Alligator mississippiensis: one gene and its partners. The protein of the gene in region 1 interacts with the protein of each later gene in a pairwise test. Links are inferred from orthologs where the notes say so. Each region holds a gene or a part of one and is shown in the gene's direction. Other genes may lie near its edges.

The links.
Region 2: the proteins of EXOSC8 (region 1) and OTUD4 interact in binary tests that used the Homo sapiens proteins (3 or more experiments, as listed by UniProt). The two-hybrid records come from large-scale screens. The link is inferred for Alligator mississippiensis from reciprocal best matches to the Homo sapiens genes EXOSC8 and OTUD4.
Region 3: the proteins of EXOSC8 (region 1) and TFAP4 interact in binary tests that used the Homo sapiens proteins (3 or more experiments, as listed by UniProt). The two-hybrid records come from large-scale screens. The link is inferred for Alligator mississippiensis from reciprocal best matches to the Homo sapiens genes EXOSC8 and TFAP4.
Region 4: the proteins of EXOSC8 (region 1) and DUSP23 interact in binary tests that used the Homo sapiens proteins (3 or more experiments, as listed by UniProt). The two-hybrid records come from large-scale screens. The link is inferred for Alligator mississippiensis from reciprocal best matches to the Homo sapiens genes EXOSC8 and DUSP23.

The regions. Positions count from the first base shown.
Region 1 is NC_081824.1:420,423,978-420,431,238, reverse strand, and holds the start of EXOSC8 (exosome complex component RRP43), read left to right. Parts: upstream 1-4,254; 5' UTR 4,255-4,323; coding exon 4,324-4,340; intron 4,341-6,643; coding exon 6,644-6,680; intron 6,681-7,261. Other genes in the region: ALG5 (dolichyl-phosphate beta-glucosyltransferase), read right to left, coding at 2,178-2,349, 4,089-4,157. UniProt on the Homo sapiens protein: Non-catalytic component of the RNA exosome complex which has 3'->5' exoribonuclease activity and participates in a multitude of cellular RNA processing and degradation events.
Region 2 is NC_081825.1:101,278,752-101,285,976, forward strand, and holds the start of OTUD4 (OTU domain-containing protein 4), read left to right. Parts: upstream 1-4,215; 5' UTR 4,216-4,462; intron 4,463-7,225.
Region 3 is NC_081836.1:24,934,002-24,942,000, reverse strand, and holds the start of TFAP4 (transcription factor AP-4), read left to right. Parts: upstream 1-4,993; 5' UTR 4,994-5,317; coding exon 5,318-5,406; intron 5,407-7,999.
Region 4 is NC_081838.1:22,712,378-22,719,682, reverse strand, and holds the start of DUSP23 (dual specificity protein phosphatase 23), read left to right. Parts: upstream 1-4,300; 5' UTR 4,301-4,364; exon of another isoform or gene 4,365-4,718; intron 4,719-5,270; exon of another isoform or gene 5,271-5,398; intron 5,399-5,809; 5' UTR 5,810-5,814; coding exon 5,815-6,084; intron 6,085-7,305. Other genes in the region: RNA-directed DNA polymerase from mobile element jockey, read right to left, coding at 1-1,994. UniProt on the Homo sapiens protein: Protein phosphatase that mediates dephosphorylation of proteins phosphorylated on Tyr and Ser/Thr residues. In vitro, it can dephosphorylate p44-ERK1 (MAPK3) but not p54 SAPK-beta (MAPK10) in vitro. Able to enhance activation of JNK and p38 (MAPK14).

The DNA.
Region 1 (7,261 bases):
ACATCCCTCCAGGTCAAATATGACCCATCCACCATCACTTTCTGGGCGTGGCCTGGCCTCTCTCTGGGTGTGCCAATATGCGACCCATCTGACTGTGTAGGCATCAATGCCACAGTCGCCTAGCTTTTTAACGAGAATGGGGTGGAATGACCAAGGTCCTTTTCTGTCTCTGTGCTGACGAGAAGGGAGTTCCCCAGCCTGCTGGTTCTTCCTCCTCAGGTGCAATACCTTGCACTTGTCAGTATTGAAACCCATCCTGTTCTTATCCACCCACCCCTGTAACCTGTCTGTATCTAGTTGCAGCCTGCCCCTCTCCTCCAGCGTGCCCAGAGGATGTTCTTGTCACAGCTGCTTCACAGTATGGTTCTCCAGGAGATGCCCAGAACAGTTGCACTTGGATGTAGTGGCAATCACAGCAGTATCCCAGTTGAGAGCCACTGCCCTAAAGATGGGAGAATCCATTGACATGCTGACAGAGCCCATGATAATTTTATGCTTATGTTAAAAAAAAAAAGTTCTTGTGCTTATTACAGCAAGTTCTTGTGCTTATTACAGTCTTGTCCCCCCCAGACTATTTGCCTTTTTGTCCTAAACTAAGATAAATCAGGTCAATTTATACCCCCTTTATTCCACTCACAAGAATCCCATTCATATCCATAGGAGTCCTTCATAGGGAGGGAAAGTAGAAGAGCATTTTATTTTATTTTGCTGTCTACACATCATTCCTATCTCAATTAATGTGGTGCAAATCAGGAGCAATTCCAATGCAACTAATTGAGAATTTCTTGTGTAAGTAACCAGGAAAATCAAACCTGGGGAAGTTTTCCTAAAATGAGTGGGATAGGAGCTAATGACTGCACTGCTGTCATCTTGTGCTATTGTGGGAAAAGGAAAATGTTAGGAGTTAGTAAACCCCTTACTGAATTGAAGAAGGAGTTACCTGGAAAGCTATGGCAGTACATCTGATTCTCAATCAGGGTGCCACCAAATTAAAAAAAAAAGTTAAGGAGGGGTGTCCTGACTCTCAAAAGATTGAGAACCAATGTCCTAAACAATATTCCAGCATGGTCTTGCCTGATAAATGCTTGCCCAAATAGGAAGATCGTGCAGCACTTCCAGATGTACAGATTTGTGCTTTGGGACACCTCAAGGGAGAGGGAGCTCCAAAGCTGAGGGGCTACTATTGAGAATGACCTCCCACATGCTTTTGCCAAATGAAATAGTCTATAGTTTAGCCCCCTTTACACCAAAAAGACCTTTACATATTAGTGATTTGCATAAGAAATACATAGAACAGGCAGCAATCAAACCTAAAAATGCTTCACAAAATCATTCTTCCTACCATACAGCTCATTTGCTGGCTGAAATCTCAAAAAAGACACACAAATAGTATGTCCAAGCTGCCCCGAGCAAGTCTGCATGGCAGCTGAGAAACAAACCCTCCACACGTGTACCCAAGCCCAGGTTTGCATGTTGTCAAGGCAGATGACTTGGAGCAGGCTTGAGTGTATGCCTCAGCAGAGAGAGGCACAACAATTTGCTGGAGTGCACCTGAAGGAGCAATCCAAGTCCTCTACTAGGCTAATTTGTGGGCCTAGGTTTATGTGGAGTGATGTGGTTTATTTCTCCTCAGTGCACCCAGACTCACTCAGAAGGCTATTTAAGCTCATTTTTATTCTGCTCCATGCTGACTCCAAGGCTATAAACAAACAGTACCTTGATTCTCAGATAAATCATTTTATCCCATGACGAAGTGCAATTGTTCAGACGTCCAAGTCTGTTGTCTCAGGATAAGTCTTAAAAAGGTTCAACGGATAAGAAGTACTGTTTATCCTGGAACACCAAAAAGTGCATCTGAACAGTTACCCTGGGAGTGCATCATTGAACCAATGGAAGAAAAGCTGCAGTGCACTCAGCCACTCATTAAACCCCGATCAGAAGGGTGATACAAGTAAAAGCCAATCCCGGGACACTTCTACTCTGGGACAAACGTAGGCATGACTTGTCCAGGGATACAGACAAGCTACAATTGCTCTCTAGGATGAAATCCCATTGATGTATGCTGTTTCACGAAAACCTGGGAGCAAGGTATGCAAAGCAGCTATATAACCTGCTCTGCAATGCTCTGTTGCTGACAACTGTTTACAACACAGACTTAAGTTTGGGTAGAATCTTACACCGGTCTTCCTCGTTGTATGAAGGCACAACAACAGAGAGCTCCTTTGTAGGTGGGTCATGTATGCTTGGTACAGAGTCCTTCTTGCCTTCAGCATTCACAAAGAACTTCTCCTCTTCATGTCGTTGAAAGCTTGGCATTTTTGTGGCAGTTACATGGGCAGTGATACACACCTGAAGAAAAAAAAAACAAGAAGAGTATTTATGACCAAATGCTTTAGTGACCTATCTACACTTATGGTTTGCATAATGGTATTTGGTAAACATCATGCAAGCTTCTCTCACTAGGTGAAATAAGAGATATGCATAGATGTAACCGTTATACTGGTATTACTCTATAGCCAAGATAAGTGCACCATCTCTCTGCTCTTATGCAAGGATAAACGGAGCTAAGACAATGTAAGGTCAAAGTTGAAAGAAATTAGTTCACTTACAGCGGTACAGAAGTGAACAGACTGAACTGTTAAATTGGAATGGCTGATATGCAATCCTAAGTCTCCCACTTTTGGTTTAAAGTTGCAACTGCCTACAACCAGGGATGAGCAAAGGTGATCCACTGGCAAAAAGTAATCCACAGTCATTCCTATTACAAATAAGGTGGAGTCATCTCTTGAGGAGCCCTCTCCTCTGTTGCCCAGATCAAAGAGGACCTACAGTCCTCATATGGCATTCATGGGTCCCATTTTACGCATACCACATTTGACCTTTGGATTGTAGTAGGTGGCCAACGTAATTTTGAAGTGGAATAGATGCTTTTGACTAAAGGACTGATCTAAGCTCCCACAAACTTGTTACGCTCAATGCTCTGCTGACTGCGAGCTGCACTGTATCTAAACCTTGTTATTATGTGTACTGCCGAAATAGCAGTGTTGCAACCATTATTGTTAGGGTCTAAAATATCAAGATCTTATTCTTGCCTGGGACTGCCTAGGTAAGGTAGACATGATGGTAAACTAGGAAGCAGAGCATAAAAGAACTTGTTTCCCATTTTGTTTAAACAAACTCCATGCATGCACATATGTGCGCATACACAAAGGGCTGCTTAAAAACACCAGGCAACGTGCAACCATTTTCAACACTTTTGTGATTTCATCACCACACACGCATGTATGTGCACAAACACATACTCCGAGTGGAGGAACAGCGCGGTCCACACGCTGGGAGGAGGATGCATGTAGCAACCAGTGATGGTTGATGCTTCAAGCGCTCCACGCCACAAAGCTTCAAAACAAAAGCTGATTTGCCAACGCTGATTTAGCCACATGACCTGTACATGCAGGCTGCTGCTTTGTTTCAACCTCTGTTTTCACATTAGTAAGTGTTACTAAGAGTTTTTACAAGTAAAAGGAGATGTCACAAGTGCACAAAGGGACTAAAAAATAGGTGTGGGGGGCGCATCTTACCAGCCCAGCCATGGGGCTGGGATACACTTTTGCAAGCTTCTGAACATGAAGCATTTTAGCAACAGGGTGCACGGCGCAAGTGAAGCAGCACCATCAGGCTGCCCTTATGCTCTGCTAGAACTTGTCATTGTAGAAAATGTGGGTTGGAGGGACCTCAGGAGGTCACAGCGAGTCCAGCAGGACCAGCCCCAACTGGATCATCCCAACCAAGGCTTCGGGTAACCAGCTCTTAAAATCCTCCAAGGTTTCCAAGCTTCCCAGCCCGCGCAACCTCGGGTCCCTTCTCTCCCGGTACACCTAGCACAGCGGTGCCCCCGCCCCAGCCTGGCCCGCGGGGGGCTCCAGAGGGCAGGGCGGCGGGGCCATATGACGCAGCGCTGGGGCCAGGGCCGTCCCTCCCCCCGGGGGCGCCGGGGGTGGCGCGACGCGGCCTCCCGGCCCCCGCTCCGTGACACAATTTGCGCCAGGCCCTGGCTCATGGCGCAGGCAGCGGGGCCCGGCCACACTCACCAAGCTGAGGGCGGCGGTCGCCAGAAGGCCCAGCGCCGCGGCCGCCACGACTAGCAGCGGCAGTGCCATGGGGCAGTGCCAGCGAGGCGGAAGCAGCTCTGCGAGACCCGGAAGAGAACTGCAGCGGGTAAGGAAAACTTCCGGGGTACAGCCCCAGCGCCGCCAACGGCGCAGGAGTGGGGGGATGACCCCGGATGTACATCCTTAAACCCGGAAGCGGGGCGGAAGTAGCACCATGGCGGCCGGATTCAAGTAAGGTTCTCGTCTATCCCGCGGGCTGCGGCAGGTCTCGCTGCGGCCGCACAGGTCTCGGGGGAAGGGGCTGGTGGAGCTCCCGCCGGCCGGGTCCGTTGGCGGCGGGCAGCCTCCAGCTGCCCGGGTCCCTGCGGCCGAGGCGGGGCGCAGCTTTTCCCAGGTTTTAAGTATGAAACTGTGGTATTACTAGCTCGAAATTATGGTATTTGTTGAAAATTTTTCGTACGCCGAATAATTGTGCAAATGAGAATGCAAAGACGTCTTCTCGCTTGCTGGCTGTTGCTCGCTGCTCGTTGTCAGTGAGTGAGTGAGAGAGACCTGGGCCACCAAAGTTGAAGCATTTATTTTGAGGCAGGCCGTAGTAAGGAAGTGCTGGCAGCAAGGCCAAAAGCGTGGTTAAGACCCTCCGAGGGAGATTTGGGTGTTGTGTATGCGGCATCAATTAACGCCCATAAAAATGATCTTATGTTTTGAACGCTTTTACTCTGATTGATTGTACATTGTATAATAGTTGAAATCATCGCACGAATATGATACTGTACACCAGGCAACACTGCCAGGGTGCGTCCCCTGAGGGAAGCTGCTGCTTCCCCCCCTCCCTTCCATACCTGGTTCAGCCCTGGGGCCGCAGGGCCGTCTCCCCTCCCAGCATCACTGGGAGCTGCCCAAGGGGTCCAGCCTCCACGCCTAGTTCTGAGCCTCCAAGCCTCACTCCTGCCTCCACGTTGCCTTCTTTCATCCCAGGAAACCAGGTGCTGCTTTCTCAGCGGCTGCCTCTGCTGAGGGAGTCTTGTAGCTCTGCTTGAGCAGGGCCCCAGTCCCTTGGAAGCCACCAGCTGGACCTGTGTCACACAGCTGTCAGAGCCTGCAAGGATGTCTCCCTGTCCCTGCTTTGTTCATGTCTCTGGGCAGCTTCATGGGCAGAGTCTGTTGGTTCCTTTGAGGGCCGGTGGGCACTGCCCTAGTGTGCTGTCCCCCCTCCATGTCCCCCTTCAGAGCACTTTTGTTAAACTCATGACCTCGCTCCCATCCCTGTTTTCTCTTTAGTTGTTCCCTAAACTCAGGTTCCCTCCCCTCCACCCCCATCTGTGTCCCATGGTGGCAGCCAGTGGATGCTGAAAGGGAGAGTGAACAGGGGCAGGGTTTTCCCTGTTGTTCCTCTCCTACTTGCAGGCTCCAGCATTTAAGGTTTGGTAAATTCAGATTCTGCTCAAGAGCTGTTGATGCCCCTTTCCTCTGAGTATTTGTCCAGTCCCTTTTGGAATCTGGTTACATGGGCAGCTTCCACAACATGGCATGAGAATTGATCTTTCCTCAGCTGAAGTATTTTGTGAGCTGTAGATCTTGGTGTAGCCAAGAAATAGCTAAGGGGGAAATTTAAAGCAACCAGGACCCTGTCTCAAGTCTTGGGTAGGCTGGAAGGGAGGGATCTGTTTGGAGCAAAAGAAGGTTAGGTCTTGAAGTGCTTGGACAAAGGGTGTGTTTCAAGGAATTTAGCCAAGGGAGGAATTGTACAGCCATCCAGCTTTCTTTCCCCCCCTCCCCTATGTCTCTTGTTCACCCTCAGTGAAGTGGGACATAGATCCTACAGCCTGAGCCAGTGGGAAGTCATACCTGTATTGATGCCAGTTAGGAGCTTCACAGGGTGACTTATTGGGAATTGCCTTTAAACTCGTTTTCCTGATTTGTGATGCCAAAATATGTATACAGAGAAACTAAATTAATTCTCAGGATTACTATACCTGTGGCTGTCTCCAAAAATACATGTTTGAACAAAACCTAAGAAAGCCTTGTACCGAGGTACATTCCTTTCCAGGAAATGCTGTGCTATTTTAATGGCAGTGTTACAGACTGCCATAGCTATTTTCAGGTATAGATTTGCTACTGATGATCATCTCCTTCTCCTCCACCTCTCTCAGTGTTGTTAGTTTGAAGAGATGTCCAATGTAATGGTATAAAATGAATGAATTGTACAAAAGACTGTTCTGTGGGTGATTGACAAAAAGTTCCATGTTTGCCAAACATTATTGTTTCTGAGCCCTTTCTTTTTTTCAGGGCCACCATCTTTCTAGAATCTGAATTCATGTCTCAAATCCATCACAAAAATCATGATAGAGTATTCTAGTATGTTGTTGGGAGTGCTGGCTAGCTTTCTGTCCAAACATAGTCAACAGACAGACAGGACTTGACTGTCAAACTTGGCTAAACCGCAAAGCACTAAGCTTCTTGCTAGGTTTTGACTAGCCAATTCAGTTTTGTGAAACAGCTTTTTCCATAAGAATTTTTCTGTTTTTTTCCAGAACTGTGGAACCTTTGGAGTATTACAGAAGATTTTTGGTGAGTAAAGCATTATACGTGTCTAAATTATGTAGACTGAAATTATTTTTTTCTTTTCTGTTGTTCTCTTTAACCCATATATACACCACAGTAGGGTTTTGGCAAGGTTGCACAACTCAAAAGTTTTCTGAGGGCCATTTGTAAAATACATTTTCCAATGGAAGCTGTCACTGGTAAGATTTGCTTTGATCAGATATAAGCCCTTAGCCATGTGTACAGCCAGGTAACTGGACTTCACATGCAGTCACATGCACACTTGAACAATCTGTTGTACAGGGAGGACAACAGGACTCACTATTAATTTTTCACATCCTTTTTCATTTAGTATAGTGGCTTAATAAAGAATTATGACAAATTACTGGGCTTGATCTGATGGACTATGTTGTACATCCCTACCTTTGGATTGTCCTTCAAACATATAATAGAAGAGATTGTTCAGATTCTTCTATTTTGCGGCTCTTACTCTGCATGCATTTAACTTGATATACAAATAGTACTATGGACTTCAAAGGGAGTCCTGATGTGTGCAAGGTTTAGACGTGTGCTTAAATTAGTACAGGGCATCAGCCTAACTTTGGCTT
Region 2 (7,225 bases), on another chromosome or scaffold:
CACTGACCCCAAGGCCAAGCAGCTATACCCATGCTTTCCCCAGCTCTGTTTCTTCCCTGCAGTGCAGATGCAGCTTTCAGCTGGGTCAGGGCTAGGCGTGCGCAAACTGTATCCATGCTGCTGCCCCTTTCCGCAGATCCCCCCCAAGCTGTGGTGTGGGAGTGGGGGTTTGGAGAACCATGCACAATTCCTGGCCCTGGTGTGGGGAAAGTGCTCCCTGCCTCCTGCTGGACAGCTGGCCTGTGCTGGCCCAAAGCTGGGTTGTTCTGGCCTACAGGTTGTAAAAGGTTGCCAGCCCCTGCTTTAAACTGTTAGAAAAAGATGCATCTTTCCCAGCACTTTATGCTGCAGCTTGGTTTACTTAGCGCAAATAGTTTTAATAATTTGTTGTATACCTGTTCAAAGGTTGTGTGTGGGAAGAAAAACTGCTGGTTTTCAGCAGCAGATCTGTATGTCAGCATGAACTGACCCAGAGTAAGAAATTCTAATTATCTGCTACAAGCAAGAAAATCAGCGAACAGTATGTATTAATCTTTTGAAGGGCAGTATTAACAAGAGAGAATTACACCTATGGCTTTGAGTAGACAATTCAGATACGGGAGAAAGAAGCTTGGAACCACCCTTGCTTGCCAAAGCAAACCACTGTCAGTCTCTTAGAATCTGAACACCAGATTGTGATAGCCAAACTCTTATTGGGATGTATCTCTCCCTGCAGCTTCTTCCACTGACTTCAGAAGAACAACTTGTGATGTAAAGCTGCAGTAGGCAACCTTTTCTGGCTGCAGGATGGAATGATTCACCTCTGGTTTGAGGTGGGCAGGAACAAGGACTTGTCCACAATCAGTGCTTCTGCCCACAGCAGTAAGGAAAATGCCTATATTCAAAGCCCCCCACTGCTGAATGTCCACGTCAACTCCAGATCTGGCCTGTGGGTTACAAGTTGCCAACCCCTGATGAAAAGTACTACTCCATGTAGTTAAGAATTGCAGTACTGAATCAGAACGTATCAAAATAATGGTCTAGAGCAGGTAGCAGGGCAACCGTTTTGACAGGTGTGCCACAAATTAGCTCCACCCTCTCACCAAGTGCCACGCTGATCCCATTCTTCTGTCTGTTCTGCTGCTCTGCTTTCTGCTTCCAGCTGTATGCTCCCTGCCTCATCTGCTTGCTTCTTCCTTTCCTTCCCTGTACTCCCTGCTCAATTTGCTGCTTTGCTTTCTGCTTTGTGTCCTATCTGCCGCTGTGCTGCCTGTCCTCTCCCTGATTTGCTGTGTGTCACACACACAGGCTGCCTGGGCCACTTATGCCACCTGTGCTGCAGGTTGGCCACCCTGATCTAGAGGCCATTCTTCTGTCTCCAAACAAATGGCCAGATGAAGATGAAGCCCTCCTACAGAATATGTTTGCATGTAACTGGCCTAAAATGAGTTTTTCTTCTCAATCCCATACTGCCAGTGGTTGATTTACTAAATATATCCTAAAGTATGAGCCTTCATGACGGTTATTAGAGTTATCCTAACTAATTTAAATGCTTATATAAAATGCCCAATTCTTGTTTTGGTTTCCATTAAACAGAGGTCCATAATATCAGATGACAGTGAATTCACAAGTTAAATACACATTTGAATAATAATAAACCTTTATTGGTTTTGAGGTCTTGGCTTTTTAAATGTATGGTTCATTATTCTTACATTCTGAGAAAATGAGAAAATAAGTCTGCTCAACTGAAGCCTTTTTATTATAATATGTTACTGCATATTTGTCTCCTGTCAGCTAAAACAGATCTAGTTGTCCCGTCTGCTCAAATATCTCTTTGTGAAGGAAATGTCTTCAGTTTAGAATTATTTTCATTGCCCTGTTTTAGATCTTTTATACTTATTATTAAAAAAGGCAAAATAAACAACTCATGAAAAGAAACTTTGCTAGAATAAAGACAATAGTATTATCTTTACATTTTGATTTCTTTCCTAGAATGTAACCTAGCTTAGTCCTCCCTAACTTCTACCTACAGATTTAAAGAAACTTTTAACTAAGCTCCTTTGTTTCTGTTATTCTCTTTTGGAGACTGGATGACCAAAATTGGACAGTGTATTCAGTGTGCTACCTCTTTGTATAATAACTTTCAAAACCTATGTTAAAAAGAAGTCAACATTTCTTCCCAACTCCAACTCCTTGTCCCGCTTCACTCCCTCCAGAGCCCATGGCCATCAGCTCTCATTCCCACTGTCTTCTTATCAGACTGCTACTTCTCCAGTGATCCTTGAGTGCAAGGATAAGTTGGATGACTCCCAAGTGTCTGGGCCTGGGTTAACAGTAAGCCTGCAGCAATTACAGAAAAAAGTTTTGCTCATCCCTAAGCATGGAGCCTTTGCAGCCTATAGCTGCCAAACTCCAGCAAATCTTTACTGAACAGTGAGCCTCCCCGACACATTATTTTTAAGGCTGATAACTTGACCAAATCTGAACAGGTTGCCCTATTGGAACAGGAAAAGACTCATCCTTTACAACATGGAAAAGGTTGTCTGCTAGCTCTCAAGCCCTTGCTCTGTAGCATAGAGACACTTCCAAAGATAACTGTAAAACCTCAGCTAACATTTTTTGGGGGGGAGGGGGAGGGTAGCAAGGTTGTTTTTGCCTCATCTTGTCTTCTGAAATGGCAGAAGTATTTGGCTGAAAAACTGATTCAGATTCAATGTTTTTTTTGGAGACACCCTTTTTTGGAAGAAGTTTAATAATAACCAGTGGTGTTAAACCTTTTGGTGCCAGGGGCCAGATGAGTGGCACGGATCCTTTGTGCTGGACTGGGCCCTGTACTGCTTCCCTGGGGTCCACTCTGACTCTGCTCAGCCTTGCACTGGAGGACTGAGCCCCTGCACTGCCTCCAGCTGGTCTCTGCATGCCCACCCAGCCTGCAGACAGTGCCAGATTTAGGCTTAAACTACTTAAGATACAGTTTAGGGCCTCACAATATGAAGGGCCTCTAAATAAGAAAAAAAAATCTGGACATTTTCATTCTAATATGACAAAAATATACATATATATGGCTCCACAGTTATTATTCATATTGAGTTCATAAATGTGTGCAGAAATAATAATATTGCATCTTAAAATTTCATGAAAACCCATTTTCGTGGATTTTGTGGATTATTTTTATCTTATGGAGCCTCTTAAACGACATAGTTTAGAGCCTCAGCATGTCATAATCTGGCACTGCCCATGGGGCTCCCCACAGGTCTGGCCATTTGGTAGCACAACAATGGCAACTACTGCCACATTCTCCCCACCCCCCACATTTTTAGATCTGTTCTGGCTGCGGGGGCTCCTGCAGGCCAGGCTACACCTATTCAGTTTAGAAAAAGAGATGGTTCAGGGGGCACAACAAGGGCCTTCCAAATATTAAACAGGAAGATAAAGTAGATAGGGATTTATTATTTACTCCCTCTCACAAGTCAAGAACAAGGGGGGTCACAACAGGAAAACTAGTAGGTAGTAAGTTTGAAAAAAAAGCATAAGGAAGTTTTCACACTGCTTCTCCTTGATGGGTAGAACTCGTTGCTACCAGATGTGGAAGCTGAGTTTGGCCAGCTTCAAAAAAAGGGGTTGTACAAAGTCTTGGGAGGAAAGGGGCAGCACTAGTGGTGGAGCAGGGGAGTTAGTGGCACAGGCCTTGAATCATAACTTCTCAAACCCTAAATGCTGGAGGCTGCACGCAAGAAAGAAAGTGGGCAGGGGCGGGAACCCTGTATCACGCCCAGTTCACTCCGCATCCGCATCCAGGGCTACAGGACTGAGCCAGATAGACCTATGGTCTGCCCTAGTGAAAGGCTGTTCTTACGTGTTGCTAGATCTAAGCGCCCAGATCTAGGCCACACCTGATGCGGGATACTCGCCCACACACGTGTGGGCTGTGCCAGGCAGCGCAGCGCCAGGGCTCTAAGCAGCTCCCATCCCATTGGCCAGAACGCGTGTGTGGAGAGGCAGAAGGGAGTGCGGCCACCTGGGTTCCAGAGCAGCCTGATTCCGCCCCCTGGTTCTGGCCCCGCCCCCTGCCAGAGCACCTTGTTTCTGCCCTGAGGCAAGAACGGTGTCCCTGGACTGTACCATTCTCTGATTCCGGGTTGGCGGCGTGGGAGGGAGGGCGTGCATCAGCTTATTCCCCAGCCTCGCTTCCGCTTTTTGTGGGACTGACAATTTCTCGCACGTTAGTTATGCCTTAGTAGTGTCGCCCGATTCTTCCTCCCTCCCCCCCTTCACACATGGTACAAGCCACAGGTGCCCTGCTCAGGTGTGGCCGGTAGGACAAACCACGAGCGCAGACAGAGAGGGCACATTAGCATCATAGGAAGGCGACGCAGGCTGAGCAGCCTCCGTGGGATATTGAAGCGTCTGCACCGCAGCCGCCGGGGCCATTGGGAAGCGGAGGAGGCGGAGCCCTTGTGGCTCCGGGCCTGCCCAGGCCTTGGTAAGTGCCACTCCCGGAGGTGGGGAGGGCGGCATCATCCATGACAACGGCCCCCCGGACTGCCGAGCGTGGGGCACGCGGGGTGGGGGAGGCGGCACGAGGCGTTCTTGGTCGCGTCCCAGCGGTCTGGGTTCATGATGCAGTCGCACCCGCTGTAGGGGGAGGCGGTAAGAATTGAGGGGCCGCTCTGCAGGCGGTGGGGGGTTACCCCCCTCATGGAAGCGGCCGGGAGCAGTGCACATGCGCCACCCCGAAGCCGCTGGGGCTGGACAGAAGCCAAAGCAAGTTGTTGCTAGCTGCAGGACGCTGCATTGGGGCAGTAGCACTGGGGCCTGAAATAAGGATGTCAAGGGACCTTTTTTTAGACTTGATCTAAAAAGCACTTTTTTTAGCTGCTTGCTGGCGTTGGGGTTACAGCACGGCTTGGCCAGGTTTAGCAAGCCTATAGTCCAGCTGGGTTGCTTCTGAAACCCTGCCAGGCAGGCTGGGTCAGCAGCGCAGAGTGGCTTCGCACAGTGGAGGATACCCAGACAGGCTTATTACTGGGTGGGTGGCGAGGTCTCGGGGCCCCTCAGAAGCTGCTGCCGTGGCTGGAGGCGAGTTCCAGGCTCCCCCACCTCTGCCCATCTGGCTTTTTTTTGAGAATTTTTGTGTGTTGCAGGTCAAATTAGCCAGATCAGTTTACAATCCTTTAAATGGTTGAAAAAACGTATGCGGCCCTTCTACTGGCAAGTATCTTCCACCCCAGTCTTTTCAGCTGGGGGCTTCAGATGCTTCCAAATCCATGGGCCTGCATACAAGATGCCTGCCAAAGCCTGGAGGCTTGGGGTTTGGATGCCCCCAAGTTTCGCTTGCCATCAGCCAACAGCCCCAGGAGCAAGCTAGGGAGGATCCCCCCCATTTCCATAAAATTGGTGTGTAGCCAAGATCCTCCCACTGGAAGCTGGCCAGTGAGACTCTCATAGGGAGTCTTGTCTGCATTTGGACCCTGCAGGGTGCACACTCCACTACACAGTGCCATTTTAAATCCAGCTTGGCTCTAGTATCAGACCAGTGCAGCTTACTTAGCTCACAAGGGGCTGAAAATAGGGGAGGGAGGGAGGGGGTGTTATAGAGTTCAAGTTCAAATACCTGTATTCCCATCCATTCCCCTGAGATAAGGAGCTCTTGACCAATTCGGTAAGAAGCAGGGAAACTTGAGTCATGACCTGTGACCATTGTTTGCTGTTATTGCTATGGGGTCGCCCTATTAGCATTAGGTGTCATCAGTTGTATCCCACTTAAAAGCTGTGTGGAAAATCCAAGTACAATGACTTAAGCCGTTGGGGGCCCGGCTAAGAAACGAATGGTGTTAATACCATTACCTGTAAAAAGTGCTGTGTTACATTCAATTCCCTATGCAGACTATCTGGTTTTAGTCTCTAGACTTTGTGACAGGGTGAAAAAGCAATGGGAAGAGCTTAGGGCTGCCAGCATGACCCAGGTGACAAAAAGAAGTCCATGTTACTGGCCTGTGCATCTCCACACCTGTGAAACTATCCCTCCAAATCGCTTCTCTTGCATGCTGATTATTGTGGTTTGGACTGAACTCCTGGGATCAAAGTATCTGGGAGGAGGAATGTATGATGTACTTATTGCAGCAAAAGGGGGTAAGGGTTGGGGGAGTCCTGAACACCCCTGTGGAAGGCTCTGTTACTGCTACCCCATATGCTGGTTTTCAGCTTCCCAGTCAGAGGGCTGCAGATGGCTGACACCAACTTTAAAACAAGCATTTAGGATCCTGTTGGGTACAAAGGGGTCAAAAACAAGTGAAAAGAAATGTGTAAGTCTATTAGGGGGGTAGGGCACCCTTGTTTAGAAGAATGTAGATTCAATTATGTCATTAACAAGGATTTTTTTGACTTGGCCACTTTAATTTGCTAGGCCTTATGCACCCCAGGTATTCAAATAGGGATGTAGATCATTGTGACATGGAAAGATTAGTGGGTTTGCACCAAGTAAAAACACAGCAATGGAGCAACAAAAACTAATTGTTTAAATTGTAGGGTAATGATACAGTACTCAGTTTAAAACTCAGCTTACCATATATGCAAATAATGAGATCCCAAGGGAGAAGAAATACAAACTTCAAAAAAGTTACCTTGCTTCTGGTCTGCTCTTTAGGGAAGGTTTTTCCTTTTTTTTTTTTTTTTTTTTAATGCCAAGTAAGATTTCAGTCAGTTATATTAGAACTTATTTGAGAAACATGAGCAGAAAAGTGTACCAGTTAGGTACCACATGCAGTCAGTTGTCCCAGTCTGCCAGAGACAGGGTTTCAGAGGTTGTAGTCCTGCTTTGAGCAGGGGGTTGGACTAGATCAGCTGTTCTCAACCTTTTTCGTACCAAAACCCATTTGTAAACATTGATGGCCAGTCCTGACCCAGTACCCAGTTTTAAGTAGAAAACAACCCACAGCCCTGCTGATGGCCCTCACTCCTGACCCGCTGCCCCAGGCCCCAGCTCCCCCATTGTGAGGCAAGGGGGACCTCCAAGCAGCCCCTTACAGGCTGAAACTCTGTCAGCCTGCAAGGGAAAACCTGCAGCTTATCACATTTTTCTCTTAAACGACAATCCAGTTTTAAAGTTTGTTGATCCATTTTTTAAGTGCGTTTGCAACCCTTTCATATATTTTTGTGACCCACAGGTTGAGAAACGCCAGACTAGATGGCCTCCTAAGGTCCCTTCCAACTCTCATTGTCTATGATTCTGCAACATGCCTCTATA
Region 3 (7,999 bases), on another chromosome or scaffold:
GGCCTCAGTGGCCAGCTGGCATAGTGAAGACCTGTGCTTGGCAGGAGGCCCGCAGCTCCTCTGGGAGCATAACCTGGCTGCACCCAGCCCTGTTGTCTCCGATTCCTGGACCAGGGTAGTACTGCCCTGCTTCAGCCCTGCAGTTTTTCTGTGACGGCCTTTTGGCTCCACCTCCAGGACCAACAGGATTGTGGTGGTAGGGGGCGAACTTGCTCTGCCATTGCTCTGTCAGACCCATGGTCCTAGCACTGTCCAAGCAGTCCCTGGGGCACTCAAAGGAATCCCCTGACCATTGCTGTGGTGGCTGTATGCAAAAGGATTGAGAAGGTGTGAACACCCTTACCACAAGGACACCCTCAGCGGGTCGCTCCAGGGTGAAGGAAGGGGGTTGGGCTCTCTCCGTCCCCTCTACAGCCACCTCACTCACAGAGGGTCAGAAAGACCCTGGTGCCCCTGTCCCCTCCTGCCACGCCTCACACTAAGGCCAAGGTGGGGGATGCTGTTCAGCCAGTCACTGTTCCCAGGGCTGCTTCTCTCCTGGAGCTGGAACTGGTGCAGGGGCCTTGGCAGGCTGTGCTCCTCCCTGCAGGCAGTGGGCTGTTCAAGAGTGGTCCCCCTGGTCTCTGAACCCCCCCACCCCTATCTCTATCAGCCTGTGGTGACACAGTACTGGGCAACCAGGGGCAGGGCAGCTAGTAACAAAGGACATAGAACCCACCTCTGTGTACACCTCCTAAAGCCAGATGCTTGGCTTGTCTTTTTCCCCTTCCCTCCCCCTCCCCCCAGTGGAGGAACAGAGGAGAGGGGACAAGGGCTTGGAGGTTCAAGCCTCTAGCTCAGGGGTGGGCAAAATGCAGCCCAGGGGCTGGATGCGGCCCGCCAGGCCATTCTATCTGGCCCACGGGGCCCCTAAAAAATTTAGAAAATTAATATTAATCTGCCTTGGGCTGCCTGTCATGCGGCCCTCAATGGCTTACCAAAACTCAGTAAGTGGCCCTCTGCCCAAAATAATTGCCTGCCCCTGGTCTAGCTTGTCCTCCAGAGATACAAGAGATGTGCAACCATACTCCACTGTACTCCAATTTCTGCCCGGTCAACCCTAGAGTACCAGGGGCTCAGCTCAGAAGTGAAAAAGCAAATACAGATAGATGATGCATCCCACCAGGGAAGAACTGGTGGCCTCCCAAGCTTTGCTGTGAGCTGGAAGGGGTCTCATAGCATCCTATTACTCTGGGCTTGCCTTCTAAATATATTTCCCAGGAGACACTATGACTCTCTTGCATGCTAAATAATTTTATTTAACAGAAAATAGGCGCCTTTGGTGATGCTGGTTGTGTTATGCAGCACAGTCTCCTGCTCAACTGAAAACTAGCCACAAATTGAGAAACATTCTGTAACCTTGTGGGGTGGGCTGGTGATTCAAGGGCTGCTGTTGTGGTTTTGTCACCAGGAACCTTCAAGGAACACATTATTTTCACTGATGAAAACTGACACAATTCAGTTGCTGTGAACCCATTTCCACTGAAGGTAATTCTTCAGTAGAACTGGCCAACATTAGAGGTGGAATCCTGAGATACTGGACAATACTTTTGTGATCAGCAGAGGGGGCAAGAAGCTACTTTGTAAATAAAAGCAATTTTCCAGTGTTTAAAAGGAAGTTACTGCTGCTTCCAGGAAAAGGAATTCCCAGCATAGGCAGCTGCAGTGCAAGTTTCTCTTATATTGATCCACCCATGTATGTCTCATCTGTCACCTGGAAGGACTCCTGTCTGTGTCGGGGAGCTCTTTCCTCTGGCTCCACTCAATCCCTGTTCTCCCCCAGAATAAGGTGGCTGGATAGGAGTGGCATGTTTTGGGGTCTTTTTTTTTTTTTAACATCACAGATGTTTGTATGTTAGAAACTGGCCAGTGACCCACCCATCACTTCTATTCAGTGGGCTGCATGAAAAGCCACTAGCACTTTGGTTGCTTACTACCTTGGCTGAACTGATAGCAGAGAAGCTAATAGCAGCCTTCTAGCTAGGCAGCCATGTCAGGAAACCCTTGTTAAATAATTGGGCCAAACCCTGAGATTCCTGCTCACAACACGGCTACAACCTAAACCCCTGCTCAGCGGTTCTTAATTCTCCCTAAAGCAAATTCCCATTGAATCCAATGAGAGCTTCCAGGTCTGCATCTGTAGGATGTTTTAGACATATTGGTACTGTAGTGGTACCATGCCCCACCCAGTACTTCTACCAGCATGTTTCAGACTGGAAGTAAAGCTGATGAGAAGCCATTCTCTAGCCCTCAGTTTCCAGAGTGCTTGAGAGCAGCCACGGAGCAGTCTCCCTGGTACCTGTCCTGGTTTGAGCATTTTGGCAGTAGGTGAGTGAGGTATGCTTGGAGCTGTCCTAATTGGGGCATACACCACAGTGTAGGCATCCCTTACCGTGCCCAAGCATGATACACTGCTCTGGGTAGGCTGCCCCTAAACCAGGAGCAGTGTAGCTACATTGGCCTAGGTGGACTAATAAGCTTGAAGTAGACTAATCTGTATTGTCGGTCATGCAACAACATTAATTAGCTTGCCTCAAATGCTGCAGAAACGTGGCTACTATGCTTCAGATTTAGGAGGCAGCTCATCCAGAACAGTATGCTTAAAGATGCATTAGGATGGTAAGTTTACCATACAGATTCTGTCTTTGACTAGAGGGATTGGAATTTGGGCCCCTGTAAATGTATTGAATTAACAGGTCTGTCAAAGGGATTTGTCTTCATATCTAGTTGCCTTGGCACAAAGCTTTGTTCTCATGTCTATTGTAAATACAATATTAGTTCTAGCTGATACAGTGCTATAAGAATAATAATCTACACAACTGACCGATGTCAGGTACAATCAGAACAGGAAAGTTTTATGAGGTCTATCCTGGGGCTGAGCGGGACAGTAAGGAGCAGTGCGCAGAGCAAGCTCTCTATTTCCTTTTTCCAACAACTTCTGTCCCTGCACTTTTTTCCTTTCTTCTGCATTCTCATCTCCTTACTGTGCTGTTATTTTTGCAATTCTCCCCTCCAGCCTTTCCTGTTCTCTAGTTTGTTCCTTTACAATCTTCGGTTTTCCCTTTTCATTCCTTCTCCCTTCTTTGCTCCTGCCTTTTTTCTCAGTTTGGTGTTTTATAAAGATGGCAAAGGGAAGCAAAACAATTTACAGTCCCGATTCTGCAAAGATGTCCTCATGAACTTAGCCTGATGTTGTAAGGAATCCTGTTTATTTCAATGGGTCCATTCAGACAATGCATAAAGTTAAGCATGTGTGTGTGAACTGCTACTTAGTTAGGGACTATTTGATGGTTTTGCTCCCTCCCCACTTCAAGCATCAACTTCAGGAGAACCTCATCTGTCATAAATATATGTATATGTTCTAGCTCTTGTGGCTGCAGAGAAATAGTTGTAAATGTGACCCCTAGAACCTTAAAAGCCAGAATGCAAATAGACCACAAAAAACAGAGCTGGCAGGAACCTGGAGTCTCTCCAGGGCAACCCCCAGCTCAAGGCAGGAACCCACAGTGTAAGGAATTTATCCCATGATTTGAGGGGCCTTACACATGTTTTTTGAATGTTCAGGGCTGGTGGTGCTCTGTATGAAGTCCTTGTAGGATCTCCGAGTTTTCTCTTGCACATCCAGGTAGAGCTAGATACAAAGGAACAGGATTAGTCAGTTTCTCTTCCACATAAAGCGAGCTGGATGCAATAGGAAACTGAGCAGAATTAGTCAATTTCCCCTTGCCTCTGCTCCCCACCTCTCCCTGCTGCTGGGCTCCACCTGGACCCCCCTCCCCCCACTTCTGCTCCTGCCTTCCAGCTGCTAAACGACAAAGTGAAATTAAACTGCAGTCACTTGGAGGGGGAACCAGCCCCCTGTCAGAAAGTTTCAGCAGCCTCTGCATCACCTGTTCCTCTTCCTTTACTCCCCCTGCCTTTCCTACTCCATGCACAGACCGCAGCAAGTTCCACACAGCTCGATCTAACAGCCACTGAACCCGTTCGCAGGCACTTAACTGTTTGGTCCTGACAGCACTTTTCTATGACTTTGTATCCGTGTAGTAAGGTCTGTGGCTCCCATGGAATAGCTCTATTGCCGTGTCCAGGTTTGGTTTCAGCAACGTTATTTAAAGGGGAAAATGACCTTACTGTAGAAACACATGTACCGGAGCTGGGAAAGGCCCCTTACTGGACTTAGCCTTCACCTAGAAACGGAAGCGCTCCCCAGGCCTCCAACACCATGACCCTAACACCTGCCAGCGCAGCTGTAAACTGGCTTGAAACCCTTTGATTCCCACTGAGACAGAGAGCAATTTGAACCCAGCAATGGGAAGCAGGGGCTGGGCGGCAGGAATCCATGGGCTGCCTGCAGGCCCCCGGACCTGCCGCTTCCGCCCCTGCAGACCAGGGCAGCTTGACGGGCACCTGTCCCTCTCCGAGGGGAAACAGCCTCTTAACCCCGCTCTGTGCCCGGCCTGCTGCTTTCCCCGAAGACGAGCGGCTCCCGCAGTGTTTGGCCCGCAGGTGCTGCCAGGCTCCCCCTCGGGCAGGCCGAGACCCGGCGGGGAGCGGCTGGCCGCTTCCCCGGGCCGGGCGCCTTCTGCATCCTGCCACCCCCGCGGGCTGCGGGCCCGGGCAGCCCCCCGCCGCCCCAGCCACGTGCGGCTCCGCCCGCCCGCCCTTCCCACGTGGGGCCCAGCGGCGCGGCGCGGGTCGGGCCAGTCCTGCCGCAGCGGGGCCCGGGGGTCGCAGCCGGCTCCGCCATGTGCGGGCCCAGCCCAACCCCTCGCGGCGCCCCGCCCCCCCCGCCCCGCGCCCGCTCCCGCTCCCGCTCCGAGCTGTCAGCTGACGGCCGCATCACCCCGTAGTGGCGCAGGGAGCCGGGCGGCCCCGCGGCGGCGGGGGGCGCGGGGGGGCGCGGCGCGGCGCGGGGGGGCGCGGGCGGCGGCGCGGGCGCGGGGGGGCGGCGGGCGGGCGCGGGGGGCGGCGCGGCGGGGCCGGGGCCGCGGCAAATAGTCCTTTGTTTACATGGGCCGGGGCTGGCGGAGGCGGCGCCGCCGGGGGAGGGAGCGCTGCGCTCGCACCAGCTGTTTCCCGCCTTGAGACAGACACACGCCCGCACACACACACACACACACAGACACAGACACACGCGCACATACACGCGCGCGCACACAGACACACACACATACACGCGCGCACACGCACCCACACGGGCCGGGGCTCGGCTCGGCTCGGCTCAGATCAGCTGCGCGCGGCGCGGCCGCCCCGCCGGGCCCCCGCCCGCCCGCCCGGCATGGAGTACTTCATGGTGCCCGCGCAGAAGATGCCCTCGCTGCAGCACTTCAGGAAATCCGAGAAGGAGGTGATCGGCGGGCTCTGCAGGTGGGTGCCCGCCCGCGCCAGGGCCGGTGGGGCAGGGCAGGGCAGGGCAGGGCAGGGCAGGGCAGGGGGCGCGGGGCGGCGGCGGAGGGAGAGCGGGGCGCGGGGAGGCCGGTGGATGGCAGGAGCACGTGGGTCTGTTTGCAGCGCCCGGCCATGCTGCTCCGCTGGCTCCGGCTCCTGCCGCCGCACGCGGCGCCTGCCAGCCCGCCCGCCGCCCCGCGCCGCCCCCCCGAGCGGCACTGCACGGCGCGGCACGGCGCGGCGCGGGGGTCCCGGGCGGGGCCGGGCGGCCGTACAATGCAGCCACGCGGGCGCCGGCGCGGGGCTGCGGGCGGGCGCGGGGGCCGGGCCGGGCGGGGCCGGGCGGGCGCGGGGGGCCCGAGGCGGCGGGGGCCGGGAAGCCGGGGCCGCCCGCGCCGTCCCCGCGCGCTTGGGGAGCTTTAAAGGGGGGTGTGTTTACTCCGGGCCTGGCCGTGACTCTGCAGCCTCCCGCAGGAGGCGGGTCTGGCCGCGCGGCCGCCGGGATATGTAGTGCGGCGCGCGGGCATTGTGGGGGCTGTAGGCGCCGCCGGCCACGCGCCCGGCCGCCAGGCCCCGGCCCCTAGTCTCTTCTCCCCGGCCCGGCCCGGCCCGGCCCGCGGGAGGCGGCGGCGCTGCAGCTCGGGGTGCGGGGCGAGCGCGGCCACGCGGCTGCTCGGGCTGGGCCCTGGGTGCCCCCGTGAGAGGCTCGGATGGGCCGCTACCCCCGGCCAGCCCAGCCCGACCCGTCTCCCGCTCCTCCTGTGCGGAGGCCCCGGCCCGGCCGCTTGCCCGTGCCCGGCAGGTCCTGGTCCTCGGCCGTGGTCGCTAAGGCCGTGGGGAAGAGCGGGGCACGCTCCTGCGTCTCTTGACTGAGTCCCATGGCCGGGCTCTTGTCAGACCTCCAAAAAGTTTGGCCCGGGGGGAACTGCTCGTCAGGCCTTGCTGCAAGCTCGGGGAACAAGGACGGGTCCAGCAGCTCTTCTCTTCCTCACTTTGCAGTTTAGCCACTTCCCAGCTACACCCACACAGGGACTGACTTTTTTGCTTCAGAGGTGGTTGGACTCTTAAACTTGTCTCCTTATTTGCTCATTGAAAGCCTGGGTTCAAAATACTCCAGGTAGTTTGGATCTGCCTCCCCAGTTCATTTGAATGTAATATTCATGAGGATCTTAGTTCTGGTTTTAGCCTCAAGGGACAGTTGCTGGATTTAGCGGAGGCCAGTGCATATGTTACAAAAAGCATCTTCCAAATACACCCTCAATTCTGAGTGCAGCACTGAAAAGTCTCGTCTATGTGCTGTGTGCTGGCTTGAATAGTAGTATCTCCCCTTGGCCTATTTAGATCACCATGGGACAGGTGGTGTGAGAGTGGTGATGATGGTCATCTTTTAGTTAAGCAAATTGGAGAGCTTAGTTTGTGTATATATACGGCCTTGTCTAGGAAGAGTATGCCACCACTGCTGCCACCACCATGTATATTTCTGTGGCTTGTTAATCTGCATGTTTCAGGGAAGCTTAATTTTTTCACTCTCGCAGCCCCTTGGAAAGTTGAAAGTGAAACATTTCTTGGGTTGGCACACCTGGACTCTTCCAGATTAGTTTCTAATTGCTGCTCCTGAATGGTTTCCCATGATTTTTGGTTGCTGGAGGGGGAAAAAAAAATAACTACTTGTTTCAGTAAAAATAAATTCACTACCAGAATGGGCTTTGCAAGCTGGTATGAGAAACAGAGCAAAGTTATGTCAGGTTTTGGGCCACAATCCTCGACAGCGGCTTTGCGCAGAACCTGTCAATGGTACATTAAGACAGATTTTATGGTTGACTTGGTCTTTGCTTTTGCTCAGTGCCTGGAACATCTGCTTGCCACAATATGTCATTAACTTCTGCAAGTGCAGGATGACTTCCTATAGTCTGTTCCTTTGCCCCAGGCTTGCAGGCAGGCTGCATCTGCAAAGCACGCAGGTAAAGGGTCTTAGCACCACAGTTGCTTTCTATAGGAACTTTTGCTTTGTGGCAAGATTGACTCCTGCTTGTGTAAGAACAAATGGCACTGGAGGGAGTGAAACAGTTTCCAAATACCTCCTTGTACAAGTGAATCAAGTCACTTCTACAGCCTGCAAGATGGCCTGTTGCTTAAAGCCTCCTTATTTTCAGTGTCTGGAGACTTGGATGTGTTGATGAAGCGAATCTCTATCAAAGCTGTGTACTTGGAGTGTGGATGTTGCAAGGTTTAACTGACGCTGGCTGGTAAAGAACAGCATTGTACACACCTGTGGGTCCAGATAAAAGCTAAGTCGACCTAAAGAAAAAGCAAATCTTATCTTCTCTTATCTTTTATAGCTGCTTTATTCTGCTGGGTAACCACCCAGTGTTTGTACTCTGCTTGGAAGAGAACTTCATGCTGATTTTATTTTTTCACACCTAACTGAGCCTGGCCTTCCCCATGGCTCTTGACTCCAGGGTAGAATCTCTTAGGACCTTGCTGCATATGCCACTCCCAGGCATGGGATGCTCAAGCTGACTTGCCCAAATTTCTTCTCTCTTGTAATTGAAAGAGGTACCTCAGGCAGATA
Region 4 (7,305 bases), on another chromosome or scaffold:
GCTTGCAGCTGTTCCCTGCCCTCCAGCGTGTCCACTTCTCCCCATAGCTTTGTGTCATCTGCAAACTTGGACGGAGTACACTTCACTCCCTCGTCCAAGTCGCTGATGAAGACATTAAAGAGTATCGGTCCAAGGACCGAGCCCTGCGGGACCCCACTGCCCACACCCTTCCAGGTCGAGACCGACCCATCCACCACGACTCTCTGGGTGCGACCCTCCAGCCAATTCGCCACCCACCGGACTGTGTAGGCATCCAAGTCACAGCCTCTTAACTTGTTCACCAGTATGGGATGGGATACCGTATCGAAGGCCTTCCTGAAGTCTAAGTATATGACATCCACCCCTCCTCCTGTGTCCAGGCGTTTCATAACCCGGTCATAAAAAGAGACTAGATTGGTCAGGCACGATCTGCCTGCCACGAACCCGTGCTGGTTTCCCCTCAGCATAATTTGTCCTGCCGGGCTCTGGCAATATTGAGCCTTGATAATTTTTTCAAAGACTTTGCCATGGATGGAGGTGAGACTGACAGGTCTATAGTTGCCCAGGTCCTCCTTCCTCCCCTTCTTGAAAATAGGGACCACATTGGCCCTTTTCCAGTCCTCCGGGACTTGGCCCGTGCGCCACGAGCGTTCAAATATTCCCGCCAGTGGCTCTGCAATGTCGGCCAGTGCCTTCAGCACCCTCGGATGGAGCTCATCCGGGCCTGCCGACTTAAAGGCACCCAATTCTTCCAAGTGACTCTGCACCGTCTCAGGGTCTACGCATGGAAGTCTGGCGCCTTGCTGCTGCCTCTCTACAACCCCAGTGAGAGACTTGTCTTGCCCCTCACTTAGGAACACTGAGGCAAAGAACTCGTCGAGGAGTTCAGCCTTGTCCCTCCTGTCCATCGCCAATTGTTTCTGCCCATTTAGCAGGGGTCCTATTCCTCCCTGGGCCTTCCTTTTACTCCCTATATATCTAAAAAACAATTTCTTGTTGTCTTTTATTTGGGTTGCCATCCTCAGCTCCATGGTAGCTTTGGCTTGTCTAACTGCCTCCCTACAAGCACGAGCAGAGGAGGTATATTCATCTTTAGTGATCTCTCCCTGTTTCCACTTTTTATGTGCTCCCCTTTTGGCCCTTAGGCTGCCCTGGATTTCTCTGGTCAGCCAGGAAAGCCTCCTGGCCCCTTTCCCTCTTTTACCTCGCACGGGGATCGTCTCGCTTTGTGCCCGAAGGATCATTTCCTTAAGGCACAGCCACCCTTCTTGGGCTCCCATCCCTTCAAAACTCCTACTCCGCAGTGCGTCCTTGACTAATCGCCTGAGTTCATTTAAATCAGCTTTCCTGAAGTCTAGCACTTTCACCCTACTAGTTACCTTACCCACTCGACGTCTTATGGTGAATTCTATTATTAGGTGATCACTGTCCCCCAGCTGGCTACTGATCTGTAGGTCCCCTACCATGTCATCCCCCGTTGCCAATACCAGATCCAGTATGGCATTCCCCCTAGTGGGACCATGTATGTCCTGTGTCAGGTGGGGGTCCTGTACACAGGTTAGAAACCTGCGTGAGCGGTGGGACTTTGCCGTCTGCGTCTCCCAGCAGATGTCCGGGTAGTTTAGGTCCCCCATGACTACTGCCTCTTTAGCTTTTATGGTCTCTGAGAGCTGCCTCAGGAGCCCCGAATCTCTTTCTTCCCCTTGATGTGAGGGTCTGTAGCAGACCCCTACCACCAAATCCCTTTCCCTTTGCCCCCCATGTAGCCTAACCCACAATCCTTCTACTTCCTCAACCTCGGATTCTGTCTTGATGAGGGTCGATGTATATTGCTCATTGACATAGAGTGCAACCCCTCCCCCTTTTTTCCCCACCCTGTCCTTTCTATACAATCTGTAACCCTCAATATGTACCGCCCAGTCGTGGGATGAATCCCACCAGGTCTCTGTTAGCCCCACTAAGTCATAGGTGTGTTGTGCAAGCAGGAGCGCTAGTTCATCCTGCTTGTTTCCCATGCTCCTAGCATTCGTATATAGGCACTTGAGCCCTGCGACAGGTGCCTTTGCTGCCCCCCCGCTCCGAGTCCCAAGGGGCCCCTTATTTCTTACCTTCTAGTTTCTTACCTGTGCCGTAGTGCTGGCCGCCCTGCGGCTTGCAGGTTCCCAATGTTCTCTTTCTTCAGGCTGGGCTGTCCTTGTGGGTGCCACATGGTTTGGTGGTCCACAGCTTCCCCCGCCCTCATCTTCCCTTTCCCCCGGTGAGCCTAGTTTAAAGCCTGCTGGAGGAGATCCGCCAACTTAGTAGAAAACACACGCTTACCTTTGGGGGACAGGTGAAGCCCATCCCAACTGAGCATGTCCCTCGTCGTGATGTGCGGGTCATTGTCCAGGAAGCCGAAGCCTGCCTCGAGACACCACTGCCGAAGCCGCCAGTTGGTCTCTCGGATGCAGTTCTCCTGCCGTCTTCCGCGTCCGTTCACTGGTAGGATGGAAGAGAACACCACCTGTGCACCGAAACCCCTCAGCACGCTGCCCAGAGCATGGTAGTCCGCCATCAGGTGATCAGGGGTTCTCCTGGCCGCATCATTAGTACCCACGTGGACTAGGACCATGGGGTAGTAATCGGTGGGCTTGATCCTGGCCTGGATTACCTCCGTCACATCCCGAATCTTTGCTCCAGGCAGGCAGTATACCTCTCGTGTTGAGGGGTCCTGGCGACAGATGGGCCCTTCCGTACCTCTCAGGATGGAGTTGCCTATGACGAGCACTCGTCGCCTCCTCCTCTGGGTCCTCTTGGATCTCTTGACCTGTTGGGAGTGTGAAGAATGTGGTGTTTCTTCCTGCCCAAGGGTTTCCTCCTCTCCTTCCATCTCCTGCAGGGTCACCAGGGCCTCGTACCTGTTCTCCAGTTGGACTAGAGGGACTGGTACCTGTTCGCTGTGAGCAGCTCCGGTCCTGGATGTGACCGTCTGCCACTCTGCTGTGGAGGGCATTCCCCGGGCTGCTTCTTCCTTAGGTGCCTGGTCCTGCTGGGAAAGGATATATATATATATATATATATATATATATATGGACATATATTTTTACCAAAAAAAAAATCCTTATCAAGGCCAAATCAGTTCCAATTCTATTGGACAAAGCCCAAGTTCCAAAATTTGACTGAGCAGAACTCAGTTGTCATGCCCATGTGGTTTACCTCCAGGCAAGTATCCTCCCTCCCAGACCCATCCGTCTGGGGCTTTGGATACTCCAGGCAGGCATCCTACGTGCACCCCCTGCCTTGCTTGCTCTTAGCCAAAAGGCCAAGCAGCTCCTAGCTGAGGTTGTCTTCTTTTTTTATTAAATTTTTTTAATTACGTTTCCAAATCAGTTTCGAATTCTATTGACTAAGCAAGGCTCCATCGTTGAGGTCTGCATGGTTCAACCACTGGCAAGTTTCCTCCTGCCCAGACCCTTCAAACACCTCCAGATCTGTGGCAGCATCCTACACGCCTTGGGGTTCAGATGCCCCTGAGTCTTGCTTGTCCTGAGCCAAAAAGTCAAAGGAGCAAGCTATGGAGAAATCTCCCATCTCCATAAAAATAAAGTGCATAGCGGAGTTCTTGCCGTCGGGCGGCTACAGTAGACTCTCGTAGGGCAGGTTGTGCCCAGTGCACTGGACACGTCTCCGTTCTTAACTACACAACAGCATTCAAGGTGATCCTGGCATCTCCCCTGCCTGAACAAGGACTACACTTGATGTGAGCCAAAAGGCCATTCTTAACTATGCCAAAATACTGAGAACTTCTGCAGCCAAAGCTTGGGTTTGAGGAGCCTGCCGGGCCCCCATGCACTGCCCTGCGCGCGCTGAGAAGGGATGTGCAGGGTCAGCGTCACAGCTACAGCTTTGTACTACTCCAGACACGCGGCTCACAGAGCATCAGCCGTCCTGTCCGGGGACAAGAGGACTCGCCCAGGGCGGCTAGGACGAGAGCCAGGACCCGTTTCAGCAAAACAGTAAGAACTAGAAGGTACTGGGAACTGGAGCCCGACTGCCACCTGCCGCAGGGATTTGCACAGTGCCTTCACCTAGAGACCTGGCAGAACAGCGCCCGAGTGGCCCTCGGGAAGGGCAGACTGCAGTGACAGGCCGTGGTCTTGGGAGGCTGGTTTTTTTTTTGTGGAGAACATAGATATATTTCCATATATAAAAATAAAGAAACACATACACATACACCTACCACAACCCCCCTGACACACGGAACAGGCCGAACTGTGGCCGATTTGGGAGGATAAACGTCACGGCCCAACAAACGTCCTGTCCTGCTCCCCTCCCACCACAAAGAGCGAGCGCACAAAAGCCTCCTGCCTTTTCCAGCTTCCGCTTCCTCTGTGCAGACGTGCCGAGTACGTCCCTTTGACCCCCCGGGACACGCTGCCGCCACGTCCCGGGAGCTCTGCTAGAGGCTCACTCCGGAGGCAACACTCCGGCCTTACGTTGCGGCGGGTCCCCGAGCGCCCCGGCGGGGCGGGGCGGGGCGGGGCGGGGCGGGCCGAGCTCGGGGGCGGGAGCGGAACTGCGTTTCCTGAGCAGGTCAAGTGCGACCCTCTGCCGTGGCAGGGAAGAGCGCGGGGTCAAGCGACCCGGGCCAGGTGTCTGTCTAGCCCCCTTTTGAAGACAAGTCGTTTCCCGGCTCGGGCAGTGGCTAGCGCGCGGTGAAAGCCCAGCCGCCAGCTCCCCGGGGAGAAGCGCTTCGCTGGGTGAGGCCCGCTGGCTGCCGGGCACAGGCGGGTGGGGTGGGGTGGCACGGGCTGCCCCAAGCCTGCCGCGTCCCCAGCGGAGGGGGAATCTGCGCCGCCCTCGGTGGGAGCTGCAGGTGCCCGTGGCTGACCAGGCTGGGCCTGCCCGCGTGGGGCAGCTGCAGTGCGCCCTGTCCCTCCTCTGCCTTCCAGGGGTGCGATGGCCCTCGTGCCACTAGGCCAGGATGCCGCAGCCCTGGCGTGGGAGGCTCATCTGCCCTCAGCTGCACGGCTCAGTGTAGATCAGGGTCCACAGCGACCTCCGCGCTCCAGGGAAGGGACGTCCATGGGGCGGAGGGGTACTGTGGGAGTCTGGTTGTGGCTGCTGTCGGCTCCAGGCCGTTTGCCGAGAGTGAGGCTGGAGACTCAGGGATGACTTGGGTATCTGTGGCTATCTTGGGCCCAGCCAGAGATCTCTGCAGGGGCTGCGTCGGGCTGGTTGTGCTGCTGGGCCTTTTCCCTGTGGCTGTGGCCCTGGGCTGGGACTGACCAGCTCCATTCCTGGCAGTGCAGAAGTGGGCGCCAGCCCGTTTTCCAGCTCTCCTTGCTGCTGTCATCAGTCGCAGTGTTTCTGCATCTCTACCTCCCAGTCCTGCTGTCGTGCAGACGTTGCAGTGGATGTCGTGGCAGCAGGTTGCACAGTGGGTTTGCAGGCTGGGCTGTGGCAGCTGATGCTGCCACTCTGGGAGGAAGGAGCCAGGCTGTGCGGCTTTGGGACAGGGCAGGGCAGGATGGGGTACATGTCTCGAGGGGCCCTAACCAACTCCTCTGCCCCTTCCCAGCCTACAGGGAGCTGCTGGGCCAACCCCTTGGCCAGGCAGTGTGGGGATGCAGTATGCATGGCATGGAGTAGGTGCCACCATCCTCTCCACCCCAGCAGGAAGCAGCGGGAGTTGGAGCCACTGGGTTGTGATACAGGAGCCAGGGAATGGGGATCGTGGCAGAGCCCTGGGGCAGAGGGGCCTGGTGGGAGCTAGGCTAGGACTGTGGTGGGAGGACCTGCAGAAAGTGTGTGCTGGGCAGCTCGCTCACTTGCTTCTCTCTTGCTGCAGCTGTGATGGCATCAGCCGTCCCTCCAAACTTCTCCTGGGTGGTGCCCGACAAGCTGGCAGGGCTGGCAATGCCGCGACTGCCTGCACACTACCAGTACATGCATGAGCACGGCATCCGACACCTGGTGTCGTTGAGCGAGCGCAGCCCACCCTACCACGACACCTGCCCTGGCATCCAGGTCCATCGCCTCCGCATCCCTGACTTCTGCCCCCCATCCGTGGAGCAGATCCAGCGTTTCCTGCAGATCGTGGAGGACGCCAACGCCAAGGGGGAGGTGCGTCCCAGCCAGGGCCTCGCACACATGCACAGGCGGCCTGCCAGGCAGCAGGGCGGGTGCTCAGGCGCTGCCCCACCAGTTTCAAAACAACATGACCTATCATGTCATGATTATGTAGGCTGTTCCTGTCCACTCTGCATATGCACAATAAGGGACCTTGGGGCGATCTCCTTACTGCCCCAATGGTGCATGCGTAGTGGAAACACTTGACCAATTTGAATAATTAAAATCAGCTACTTGTTTAAGTGGGCAGCGGGGCACTTGTATTGATGCCCCAGCCTGGGTAAAAAGCTGTTAGGAGGAAGGCGGAAGACAGGGCGCCATGTGCAAAAACATGCAGTGGCCTCGGGCAGTCTTCAGAGCAGCTGCATCAGGTAAGTGGGGGAGAGGGGGATTGAGGCTCCTGTAGGAAGGGAGCAGGGCAGGCTGCTGCCCAGCCAGGTGGGCCTTGGGTCTGGGGCCTCAGTGTGCGGCTGCAGGGCCCCAGAGGGGAGCAGGACGGGGCTGCAGGTAGTTTGTCCAGGGGAGGGGGAGGGCCAGCTCCCTGCTGCCGTGTGCATAGGAGGGGAGTTGGGGCACATTTCCCCTTTGGCTTCCCCACGCTGTGCCCCTGGACGACCCGCTGGGATCTCATTGTCCCACAGCCCAGCCTGGCTGGAGCTACGTTCACAGTGAATGGGGTCCTGGCTGGGTCGGGTCATGGGACAACGAGCCTGGTGGCACCGCCAGGGGCACAGCACTGGGCAGCCAAGTGGGGCTTGTGGCCCCCTGATCTTTGCACAGGGCACCAGCGGGCTACAGCTACAAGCTGCGCTCTGCCTGCTCCATGTCTCACTACTGCCTTTGAAAGTGGTGTGGCTTGGCGCCCTGTGCCTCGCTGCCCGGCCCGCCCAGCAGTGGGACTTGCATGGAACCATGTTGCTTTCAAAGGCAGCAGCGAGGTGTGGAGCAGGCAAGGCGCAGCTCGCAGCTGTAGCCCAACAGTGCCCCATGCAAAAATCAGGGGACAATGGGTCTCCCTTGGCTGCCCAGTGTTGTACCCCTGGATGAGTCACTCTTCCCAGGGACGATGTGGGGCAGGCACGGGAGTCCCGTGGGCTCCATCCTCTCTGACCCGGCAGTACAGCTGAGGCTGGCCCCGTTCCAGGCCCCCCTGGGCAGTGTGGGGCCAGGGCCAGTGTGAGGCAGTGAATTTACAGGGGCCACCAGCGCCTGGCA